3 linked regions of the Saccharomyces cerevisiae S288C genome follow. The gene in region 3 interacts genetically with the main gene of each other region. Each region holds a gene or a part of one and is shown on either strand. Other genes may lie near its edges.

Region 1 (3,757 bases), on a different chromosome or scaffold from region 3:
ATCGTCTATCAACTAATAGTTATATTATCAATATATTATCATATACGGTGTTAAGATGATGACATAAGTTATGAGAAGCTGTCATCGAAGTTAGAGGAAGCTGAAGTGTAAGGATTGATAATGTAATAGGATAATGAAACATATAAAACGGAATGAGGAATAATCGTAATATTGGTATATAGAAATATAGATTCCATTATGGGGATTCCTAGACCCTCGAGGAGAACTTCTAGTATATTCTGTATACCTAATATTATAGCCTTTATCAACAATGGAATCCCAACAATTATCTCAACATTCACCCATTTCTCAGAATGAGATATACTTTGAGTAAAAGTGGTGGAGGATATTACTTATGTCCTTGGTAGCATGGGTCAAGATAGTTGTGTTAACTTGTTAATTATTTTTTACTATGCTTCTCAATTAAAGATGAAGTTTAACGAATGGTCTAGACTTATTCTCACAGTTTACCCGGAGGTCATCATTCTCTTTAATGACAATATTTACTCTGTCGTCACTTTCGTAATTGTTTCGTGTCTGTTTCGCAGTCCATTTGGAATGCGACAGTAAGTTAATTACAAGAAGTAGTAACAACAACTTAGCGATAATGTTTCTCATGTGTGACGCAGGGTTACTTTTGACTTAAAACGACCATTTTGCAGTTTTACTTCACGTTCGCAAACTTTCAATAACTGGCTGTTAATCTGGTCGTTAAGAAAAAGGTCAATGACGATGGCAGGGAAAATAGGGCTGTATCCCAGACTTCAGGCGCTGTTCTGCCGGGATTTTTCAAAGGAGGGCGTGTGGTCTAGAGGTATGATTCTCGCTTAGGGTGCGGGAGGTCCCGGGTTCGAGTCCCGGCTCGCCCCACATTGTTTTTACAATGTGTGGTGTCGCTACTGGCAGAAATGGTACGGCATTTATCTTTCCGACGTAAAACAAGTGTACTCAGGAGCAGTTTTTTTTTGCAATATGCTAAAACTCGTACAATAAACCAAGGCGCATGGCATGTTTGAACATTTACTCGTTATTTCGGAGGTTCCTCAGATGGCTGAATGGAGGTACAGATTATGATTTCTAGAAAACTGCAGCGGACTTTACAGAGTAAGCTGGAGAAGACCAATGTTAATGAAAACTTGAACTGCTGAAGTGTGATATTCAATGTATGAGATAATCCATTAAATCATCTACAGTTTAAAGACTGTAGGCTTACATGACCGTTTATCACTGCGATATTGGAGGAAGCGCTTCGGATCAATGGACCTTTTACTTAGCAGAGCGAAGGCTGAAAATCATGAACCCCAACAGCATGTGTGACCTCTCTTCTCACGCCTGGCAAGAAACCAAACTACGGCATACATTCAGCGCACCAAAAAGGAACTCCGTACTATTTACATTAAAAACAAGAAAATGTGTTGCCATTTCCGTAAAATGAATGGCCCATGTTCATACGCGTATGCAACCGTCTTATTTACACTCCGACTAATGTCCTTCTAATTACTGTGGAAGACGGCCGTATAAGCGTCCTTCTGTGGTTTAGATATGCTATACCGGCGGAACTTTGTTACACACGGCTCGCGCGAATCCTTAGGGGAAAACATTGCGCTGACTTTCCCCAGAGTTGTTGCCACAACATAAGCCGCTTTGGAGTGTTGAACAAATCCGTCCTTGGGTCATTCAATCAATGGCTTGGCGGTATCTCAAAAGAGCGCAAACTAATAGCGCGCACATTCGACGCATTTATCCGGTGGTCATCGACTAGGGGCGAAGAGGTCACGACCTATTTTTTCTTGCAGAAAAAAAGTGTGACCTTTTCCGTAGCTAGACGTCTATCAGGGCGTCAGCAATGGGAGGCACAGCGGAAAAACAATAACAATGGTAAGCGCAATTACCTTTTGAGCGTTACATTCGTATGAAATTGGTGACGTTAATCTAAAGATAGTCATGCTCTCAAAAGGGCCCATTATTCTCGACGTTGAGCGTATATAAGACTATTAAAACTTGGTTCTTTAGATATGGTGTTCGTTCCTCATTATTAAGTTTCAGGGAACAATATCAACACATATCATAACAGGTTCTCAAAACTTTTTGTTTTAATAATACTAGTAACAAGAAAAATGACAGTTCCTTATCTAAATTCAAACAGAAATGTTGCATCATATTTACAATCAAATTCAAGCCAAGAAAAGACTCTAAAAGAGAGATTTAGCGAAATCTACCCCATCCATGCTCAAGATGTAAGGCAATTCGTTAAAGAGCATGGCAAAACTAAAATTAGCGATGTTCTATTAGAACAGGTATATGGTGGTATGAGAGGTATTCCAGGGAGCGTATGGGAAGGTTCCGTTTTGGACCCAGAAGACGGTATTCGTTTCAGAGGTCGTACGATCGCCGACATTCAAAAGGACCTGCCCAAGGCAAAAGGAAGCTCACAACCACTACCAGAAGCTCTCTTTTGGTTATTGCTAACTGGCGAGGTTCCAACTCAAGCGCAAGTTGAAAACTTATCAGCTGATCTAATGTCAAGATCGGAACTACCTAGTCATGTCGTTCAACTTTTGGATAATTTACCAAAGGACTTACACCCAATGGCTCAATTCTCTATTGCTGTAACTGCCTTGGAAAGCGAGTCAAAGTTTGCTAAGGCTTATGCTCAAGGAATTTCCAAGCAAGATTATTGGAGTTATACTTTTGAAGATTCACTAGACTTGCTGGGTAAATTGCCAGTTATTGCAGCTAAAATTTATCGTAATGTATTCAAAGATGGCAAAATGGGTGAAGTGGACCCAAATGCCGATTATGCTAAAAATCTGGTCAACTTGATTGGTTCTAAGGATGAAGATTTCGTGGACTTGATGAGACTTTATTTAACCATTCATTCGGATCACGAAGGTGGTAATGTATCTGCACATACATCCCATCTTGTGGGCTCAGCACTATCATCACCTTATCTGTCCCTTGCATCAGGTTTGAACGGGTTGGCTGGCCCACTTCATGGGCGTGCTAATCAAGAAGTACTAGAATGGTTATTTGCACTTAAAGAAGAGGTAAATGATGACTACTCTAAAGATACGATCGAAAAATATTTATGGGATACTCTAAACTCAGGAAGAGTCATTCCCGGTTATGGTCATGCTGTGCTAAGGAAAACTGATCCTCGTTATATGGCTCAGCGTAAGTTTGCCATGGACCATTTTCCAGATTATGAATTATTCAAGTTAGTTTCATCAATATACGAGGTAGCACCTGGCGTATTGACTGAACATGGTAAAACCAAAAATCCATGGCCAAATGTAGATGCTCACTCTGGTGTCTTATTACAATATTATGGACTAAAAGAATCTTCTTTCTATACCGTTTTATTTGGCGTTTCAAGGGCATTTGGTATTCTTGCTCAATTGATCACTGATAGGGCCATCGGTGCTTCCATTGAAAGGCCAAAGTCCTATTCTACTGAGAAATACAAGGAATTGGTCAAAAACATTGAAAGCAAACTATAGTTGGATTACATCCTACTTTTACACCCCTCTGCATATTTTTCTTTCCTCATGACCATTTAGTATTTAGCACTTATTTAATACAATAATATATTCTTTTAACCATACACTATGATAATGATATTTATAATTAAGAAAATGAACGTTACTATTTCCTTCCTCGTTTTAGTTACATAAAATTTACTAATGGTTGGAAAATTGCGGAAGCTATCACGCGATAACTAGGTACACACGCATTATTTTTATAATCCCATTATTAA
Region 2 (3,686 bases), on a different chromosome or scaffold from region 3:
GATCAAATAAATTCGAGGCCTAATGTTCTGGAAAAGTTAGAAAAGGTTAGCAATATCATGATCGAAAAAAAATTGGTTAATCTAGATGGGACTTCTGCCAATGAAGAAAATACGATGAAACCATGGCAAATGATTAAGATCTTAATGGACAGAGATCTGAGACACGCTATGAAGGAATTTAAATTGGAATTGGAAAAATCTGGCATACAGTTAGGACCTGAACAACTGGCCCCGCTAATGACCGTTTTAGGCCTTGAGAAGAAAAAATGAGAGGTGAAAGTAAAAAAACATTACCTATCTGTCTTACTAGCGCCTTCCGTGTATAAATATTACGTACTACTACATAAATACTCATTAGGAGGATTACATAATTTCCATTGTATCGTATACTAGGTCGCATCTTTGCATATTATAAAGCTTGCCAAATAGGGATATACTGCCAGCACTGTTACATTTGTCATATTGACATCATTATTTTTACTATTCACAAGGTAAGCACGTTTTTTTTTAGTTTTCTTCATCTAACCAGTCTAGGAACTCAGGAGCCAAATAAGTGATGATTAATCTGGCACCCGCCCTCAAGAAACCTTGATGAGATTCAAAGGCAATTGTCTTCAAATCAACAACACCTTTTTCAGCTGCAGCATGTAACATTGCGTATTCGCCCGACACGTGATATGCGCAGATTGGTAAGTCTTTACAAATTTCACTTGCATCCCTCATTATATCTAAGTAGAAAGTGGAAGGCTTAACAATAATACCGTCGGCACCTTCACTCATATCCCTTTCCAACGCCCTACGTGCCAGGCCACGACCGGCAGGAGGTAATTGGTAACATTTCCTATCACCATTCGAAGGAGCTGAACAAGCAGCATCACGGAATGGCCCATATAGATTACCGCTAAACTTAGCTGCATAGGATAACACGAAGGTCTTGTGAGCCAAGTTTGCATTTATTAAGCCTCGTTTAATATCTCTGATCCTACCATCGATCATATCACTGGGAGCCACACAGTGCGCACCAGCTTTAGCGTAGTTAACTGCCACAGCTGCTAATCTAGAGACACTACGTTCTCTATTAATAGTACCATCATCGTATAGAACCCCGCAATGGCCATGAGAAGTGTATTCACAGAGACAGACATCGCAAATAATATACAGTTCAGGGAAATACTCACGAATGAATTTAATACCTTGAATGACTGGCCCTGCAGGATCGTCAGCCGCTGTACCCACTGGATCCTTGGTACCAGGGATGAGAGGCACACCAAACAAGATCACAGAACGCAAACCCTTGGCCACTAATGGCTTTAAGTAGTCTTTTAGCCTATTTACACCGATTCTATTGATATTAGGTAGAGAGTCAATTTCAGTAAAGTCATCTGGATTATCGGAGATGAATAGCGGAAAAATCAACATGTTCTTAGTCAGTTGACGCTCACTTTGCCACTGTCTCAGCAGTGGGTGATTATAACCACCTGCTAGAACAGATGAGATTTCTGTTGGTTCTGTTTCCAAAAATTCAGCTGTATGCATGGTTTTGTCAATTTTCTAGGTATGAATTACTGGAGTAAGCAATAATATGAGTAAGCAGTAAAACTTTTTTTTATTTGGCTGATTGGGCAAGAAAATCAAAGACAATAGAGTGGCGCATAGATGTTGCTAGCATTTATTAGGTTGCCTTACTCTTATATAAATCAAGCGGGAAGCTTGCCTCAAGCCAATCACCGCACCGAACAGGGATTGCTCGTTTACCCGTATTTTGATTTTTTTTTCACCTTTTCCAATTTTTTTTTCGGCAACAATTTTTTGGATGATTTTTATCGTCGATCTTGGAATGATGATGTATTTCGGCGTCTCTACAAGACCCAATAAAGTAATTCGGTGACACAGGCTTGTAGCAGATAGAAAACGTTCCGAAAGATGGGTTCCAATTGATGTAACACTTCTTTTTTATATATTCATGTGGACGTGTACGCCTTCTTCCCTTCTTTGCCTCTTGTGCCACTGTTAATCCTCTTAAGCATATTGTTTTTATTTACAGACATTGGCTGACTCACCAGAAACTATAATTGACGCTGATTTCTAGTTAATTAAAAATAAAATATATGCAAGAATTAGCACCAGGCAGTCATTTCTGTAAATTGCTTTGTTTTCTATTTCAAATTTGTTTTTTGTATATGTTTCAATGTTCTCGTGACAATGCAGGCTTTTTTTTGTGCGAATTAAAGTAAAGCTAATCAAAACTAAACAATAATTTATCTTGTTCCCGAAAGAGTGGATCATGAGGAGGAAAGCTAACCGTCCAAGATCCTATATAATTTTTGAACTGAAAACCAACTGTTCACCTAGAAGACAGGTATCTGGATATGTAACTACACGCTCTATAAATACAGAAATCGTAAGCTAATCAATATAAATGTAAAAGAAAATAGGAATTGCTGTCGATAGATTTATTTACTTTTGTATTGTCATCTGTGTTCTGTGCCAGTACACCGGACTCGTATGAGCTGTATGGTGTCGTTTCAATAGAATCTACTGTAATAATCACACAGATTAGAAATTATTTTCAAGATTAAATATGACAATACACCTTGGAATAAAAACACAGGATCTAATAGTGGCCCAAAATGAAGCTCGACGTGAAAATAATAGAGCCGTGATTTTAATTTCATGATTGGAAGACGTTTTCAAGGATGGTTAGACTTTGGGTCTGAAAGCACTGTCTCGTAGTCCATATATAAAGAAAATCTTATGGGAAACTGGTTACATTCTAATGATTTTAGCAACAAGTTGCAGCTAAGAGTTTGAATATCTGAACGAAGTTGTCGGTACTTCTGCCACTATCAGTATAAATAATTGCCGCCGTTCCATGATATGGAGAGCATGGCAAGGTTTACTCTGATCTTGGCCATTCTTCATTAATTTGTCGTGTGAAATGCGCAGTAATCAACCAATTTTCTGTCAGCGGTATTTGAAGCCCTAAGATGACACAAATGAGAAAGCGTTTTCTCAACTAGTAATGCCAAATTCCTCCCTTCTATAAAAAGCCCCTAACTCCGCTGCATTCAATTGCATTTTTCATTAAAAGAATACCTTGAATAAAACCATGCGGGAACATATAGATATATAAAGCAGAACATTTTTGCTCAAGAACAGAAAGTTCCAATGGTTATCTATAGGTTCCGTTTCAGCTTTACGTACCTCCCAGTCAAGGTACGATTCAAAGCCTTTTAATTTTTTATCCCAAATAGAGCACGATGTCGCAATCTTCTGAGTGTTAAACTGTCGCCAAATCTGTATTTGGGTATAGCCATTTCTTCCAAAATTGCTAGGAATGGCCTTATAAGCTATATTGTGCTTGTGCTTGCGTTTGCGTTTGCATTTTTTTTTTTGTTATTTTATTACTTCGTCACAAGGGGTACAAGAGAACTCTTATCCAACTGACCACAGCTTTGTCACTAATTTCTCTCCAGAGGGGAATGTCCCTTTGAGATTATCGAACAGGAATGATTGGATCTATTGCACTAAAATGACCCAAAAACGCTCTAGTCCATGCTGCATCCTATCTTCCATCAATACAGAAAATAACAGAAGGTTCATCAGCTCATATATAGAGAAGAAAGAAAAGAAAGAAAAAAAACTCTGTGTAGTGTAATACAACTGACTAACGCACCCACCGAAAG
Region 3 (3,757 bases):
ATTCGAGAGTGATGATGCTTGGTGTGAGCACTTGAAATGTCTCCTCTTTAAGAAAGACAATCCTATCCTTTCATGATCAAGGGCTTCTAAGGCGTCTCTCAATGCCAATTTCAAATCGGTAGGGTCTGACACGGTCTGGTAGCATTTATTAATGCAGTGGGTAAGGAAGAGGGAGGGCTTGATAATGTGGTTGGCTGAAATCGGATGGCAGTGCCCGCCATTGATAGACTCAAATTTTACTGTCTTCGTACAGTGGTTGAAGGTCAGTATGAGTTTTGACTCGCAGATCAAATGTATTTTGTACTTTTCAGGAGTCCTTGTTCTTTGTATACGCTTATTGCTGAGTTGCTCGTGAACATTCATCTCACAAACGAGTTCGTACTTGTTCTTATTGATTTTCTTTGTCCTGTAGATGAAACTAATGAATGAATATACTCTAACGAACTGCTCAAACGACAGGGTACATAGGAACTCGAAGGAGGATTTTGGATGCTTGAAAATAAAGTCCCTGAAGTTTAGAATGTTGTTGATATTTTCGATCTCGTCCTTGTTTACTGGATGGTGATATTCCTGTGCGCATGCAATTAGTTGTTTACCAGACCTAACTTTGCTCAATTGTGCCTTTGTTTTTGCACAACCAATGTAGTTTGGAATCTTCCTAATTAATTCCTCGGTACTATCTCGCTCAACATCACGGCCGCCGCCATTCCCGATCACAATTTTGGGCAGGATAGGATGTGAAACTCTGTCCTCTACTGTGCTGGGCACAGGCGACGGTGGTAGTTTCAAATCTGGCAGCTTTATGGCGACCGGGGCCAAAGGGGGTGAGGGAGCCGTTGCTTCAAACTGAGGTCTTGGGGAGGTCATAGGTGTGATAATAGGCATCATTGCGGCATGATTTCGTACAGCGACAGGGATAGTGACAACCTGTTGTGACCAATGGACGGGCGTATTTGTGCTCATAGAAGGCAATATGGGTGTTGGCAAGCACCTGGGGCTGGAGTACCCAAATGTCAGCGAATGTTGTTGATCTAACGCCAATATGATTGGGGGCAGAACGGGCGATAGGCACTGCCTGCCTGGAGGTGTTCTGGGAACGTGCGCCTGGTTGTTGTTATATACATGTAAATAGTCCATTGAGTCTTTACCAGGTTCTATCTTAACTAAAGAACTACTTCTACACAAGACTTAAGGCACCTTCATACGAAAACCCTCTCCACGATGGCGTTCAATCTTTCGTCTTTATATACATATGTTACTTTATATATTTATATATTTACGTATACACCCGAATGTATTTATATATTTGTATGCATATGCCCACACGTATATGCTCAAGAGTAAATTCTCCGACCCGTTTAAAAGCAAGCACACGTCAAGGTTTGCTGTCTCCACTCGATTCGTACCGTTCCTGCGGTACTCCTAGGCAAGCAGTTAGGCCCTGCCATTCACCCACTCAACAGTTTTAACAGTATACGACTGCAAGGCCATCGTTTACCGGCAGGGTCTATTGTTCTGCGCGTTCCTTATTAGGCACCGCCAAAAAAACCCTTGAAATTTTCGTTTAGGTGCCGGCTCGTTAAGGGCCCTTTTGCTCTCGCATAACGCAGGCACAGGTCACGAACTGCGGTGCGGATACCCTCGATTTAAAGACAGGCAGCAGGTGAAGATAATACCATGCTCAACATGGACGCCAAGGATAGACGTGTAAGTTTAAGTTTCTCTCGTTGTATCGACTGACCTCTTTAATAGCAGTCCTTACCAAGTTGAAAAACCACATCTTCGTGTTACCCGACTACCTGTGCGATGCCGTCTGGAAAATTCGCAATGAAAATTTGATGAAAAAATTGCCTCTCAATAGTGAAAGAAGTATAGCAGGGCCACGCAGAGAGTAAGGGCTATAGGCGAAGTTTTCCTGACATTTTCTTCTTCTATAGGACATTATAATATGGTTTCAGCGCAAGTGGCTACCGAGCTAGGACAGCCTATACCACTGGACACTCAACATGCGGTATCTGTATGTTTCCCGACATGGAAATCTGTAATTTCGTATGTGGAGAAAGACCCCAAAGTTTTAGGGTGTTTAAAGTCTGGCTACCCCAGGTTTTGGATCCACCCCTCGATTCAAAAGCTGCGTGATATTTTAATAGAAAAGTATGCTAAAGAAAACGAAACGTGCTTTTGCTTCCCCTCTTATAGAGTTGCCAAACGGTGCAGAGAGTATGTAAGAAGGAAGTGCGCGCATCGCAATGGCAAAGTAAGGATATTACAGTTAGCCACGGCGAAACCTATCAACGAGGAGCAGAAGACGTGGAAAAGAGAGTGTAAGATTGCGGTAGTGTTTGTAGATGGGGCATACGAGAATATATTAAAACAGTATTGGCAATACACCGGAGAGATCATCTCAAGCAGACTAGCTGAATATGTTTTGCATGAACTTTTCATGGTAGAAAAGAAATCCAGCCCTGCAGAGGAAAAGGAATACATAGAGATGCGGTATGGCAGGAATCTGAATTTTGCATTTGCCGATCGAGCCAAGGAATTGATTAAGAAGAGGATCGCTACAAAGGTTATAGATAAAGATGAGCACGATGAGGAGGAAAACTACCATTTCTTAGCAGGTAACCAAGATGAACAGGACTTCCAGGACACGTTTCTGGATTCATCCCTCAATGAGGCTAACCACGGAGAAGATCATGACGGCGGGATTAGCGGTGAAGTAGACAGTCAAGAAGAACCGCATAATGGCCTTGTTTCCACTATACCCCCGGAGCCCATCGAAATGAGCACGATAGAGGAAGAGCAATCCGTAGAGGAAGATGCCGGGAGGTGTGCATTAAGGGTTTGCCCTGAGAGAGACGTTTTTTTGTTTCCGAGCGGCATGGCGTCGATATTCACTGCGCATAGATTGCTGTTGCAATGGGACTCACTGCGTTTGAATAGATCCAGAAATGGAAGCGACGTCACCTCGTCACCTCCGAATAAGAAGACCGTGATTTTTGGGTTCCCTTATGCGGATACATTACATGTCTTGCAAGAGTTTAATGAAACGTATTTCTTGGGAGAAGGAGATGAGTCTTCAATGAAAGAACTAACAAAAATTTTACATTCCGGGGAGCAAATTCTTGCCGTTTTTATAGAGACCCCATCAAACCCACTATTAAAAATGGGAAATTTACTGGAACTGAAAAGGCTTTCGGAATTATTTGGGTTTTTCATTATCATTGATGAAACTGTGGGTGGAATAGTTAATATTGACGGTCTACCGTTTGCTGATATCGTTTGCAGTTCATTGACGAAGACATTTAGTGGGGACTCTAACGTCATTGGTGGTTCAATGGTTTTAAATCCACAAAGCCGGGTATACGAGTTTGCCTCCCGTTTTATGCAATTAGAAGACGAATATGAAGATTTATTATGGTGCGAAGACGCAATTTACCTGGAAAGAAATTCCAGAGATTTCATTGCTAGAACCATCAGGATCAACTACAGCACCGAATACCTCTTAGATAAAATACTGAAGCCACACGTAGGCGAAAATAAACTATTCAAGAAAATCTACTACCCTAATCTAACCTCAAAAGAAACACTAACCAACTATGACATGGTGAGGTGTAAGAAAGAAGGTGGATACGGCGGGCTCTTTTCACTAACGTTCCATGACGAAGATCATGCTGCGGCCTTTTATGACAATCTAAAGCTGAACAAGGGTCCTTCCTTGGGCACAAATTTCACACTCGCATTCCCCTATACGCTC

The links.
Region 1: mutations in YML082W (region 3) and CIT2 together harm fitness less than expected from each alone (positive genetic interaction), as found in Saccharomyces cerevisiae (one large-scale study listed by BioGRID).
Region 2: mutations in YML082W (region 3) and HEM2 together harm fitness less than expected from each alone (positive genetic interaction), as found in Saccharomyces cerevisiae (one large-scale study listed by BioGRID).

The regions. Positions count from the first base shown.
Region 1 is NC_001135.5:120,689-124,445, reverse strand, and holds CIT2 (citrate (Si)-synthase CIT2), read left to right. Parts: upstream 1-2,117; coding exon 2,118-3,500; downstream 3,501-3,757. Other genes in the region: YCR006C (uncharacterized protein), read left to right, coding at 1,443-1,916. UniProt on the Saccharomyces cerevisiae protein: Peroxisomal citrate synthase involved in the citrate homeostasis. Catalyzes the condensation of acetyl coenzyme A and oxaloacetate to form citrate. Citrate synthase is the rate-limiting enzyme of the tricarboxylic acid (TCA) cycle.
Region 2 is NC_001139.9:419,020-422,705, forward strand, and holds HEM2 (porphobilinogen synthase HEM2), read right to left. Parts: upstream 1,537-3,686; coding exon 508-1,536; downstream 1-507. Other genes in the region: DPC13 (Dpc13p), read left to right, coding at 1-270. UniProt on the Saccharomyces cerevisiae protein: Catalyzes an early step in the biosynthesis of tetrapyrroles. Binds two molecules of 5-aminolevulinate per subunit, each at a distinct site, and catalyzes their condensation to form porphobilinogen.
Region 3 is NC_001145.3:99,914-103,670, forward strand, and holds the start of YML082W (putative cystathionine gamma-synthase), read left to right. Parts: upstream 1-1,948; coding exon 1,949-3,757. Other genes in the region: YML083C (uncharacterized protein), read right to left, coding at 1-1,137. UniProt on the Saccharomyces cerevisiae protein: Catalyzes the formation of L-cystathionine from O-succinyl-L-homoserine (OSHS) and L-cysteine, via a gamma-replacement reaction. In the absence of thiol, catalyzes gamma-elimination to form 2-oxobutanoate, succinate and ammonia.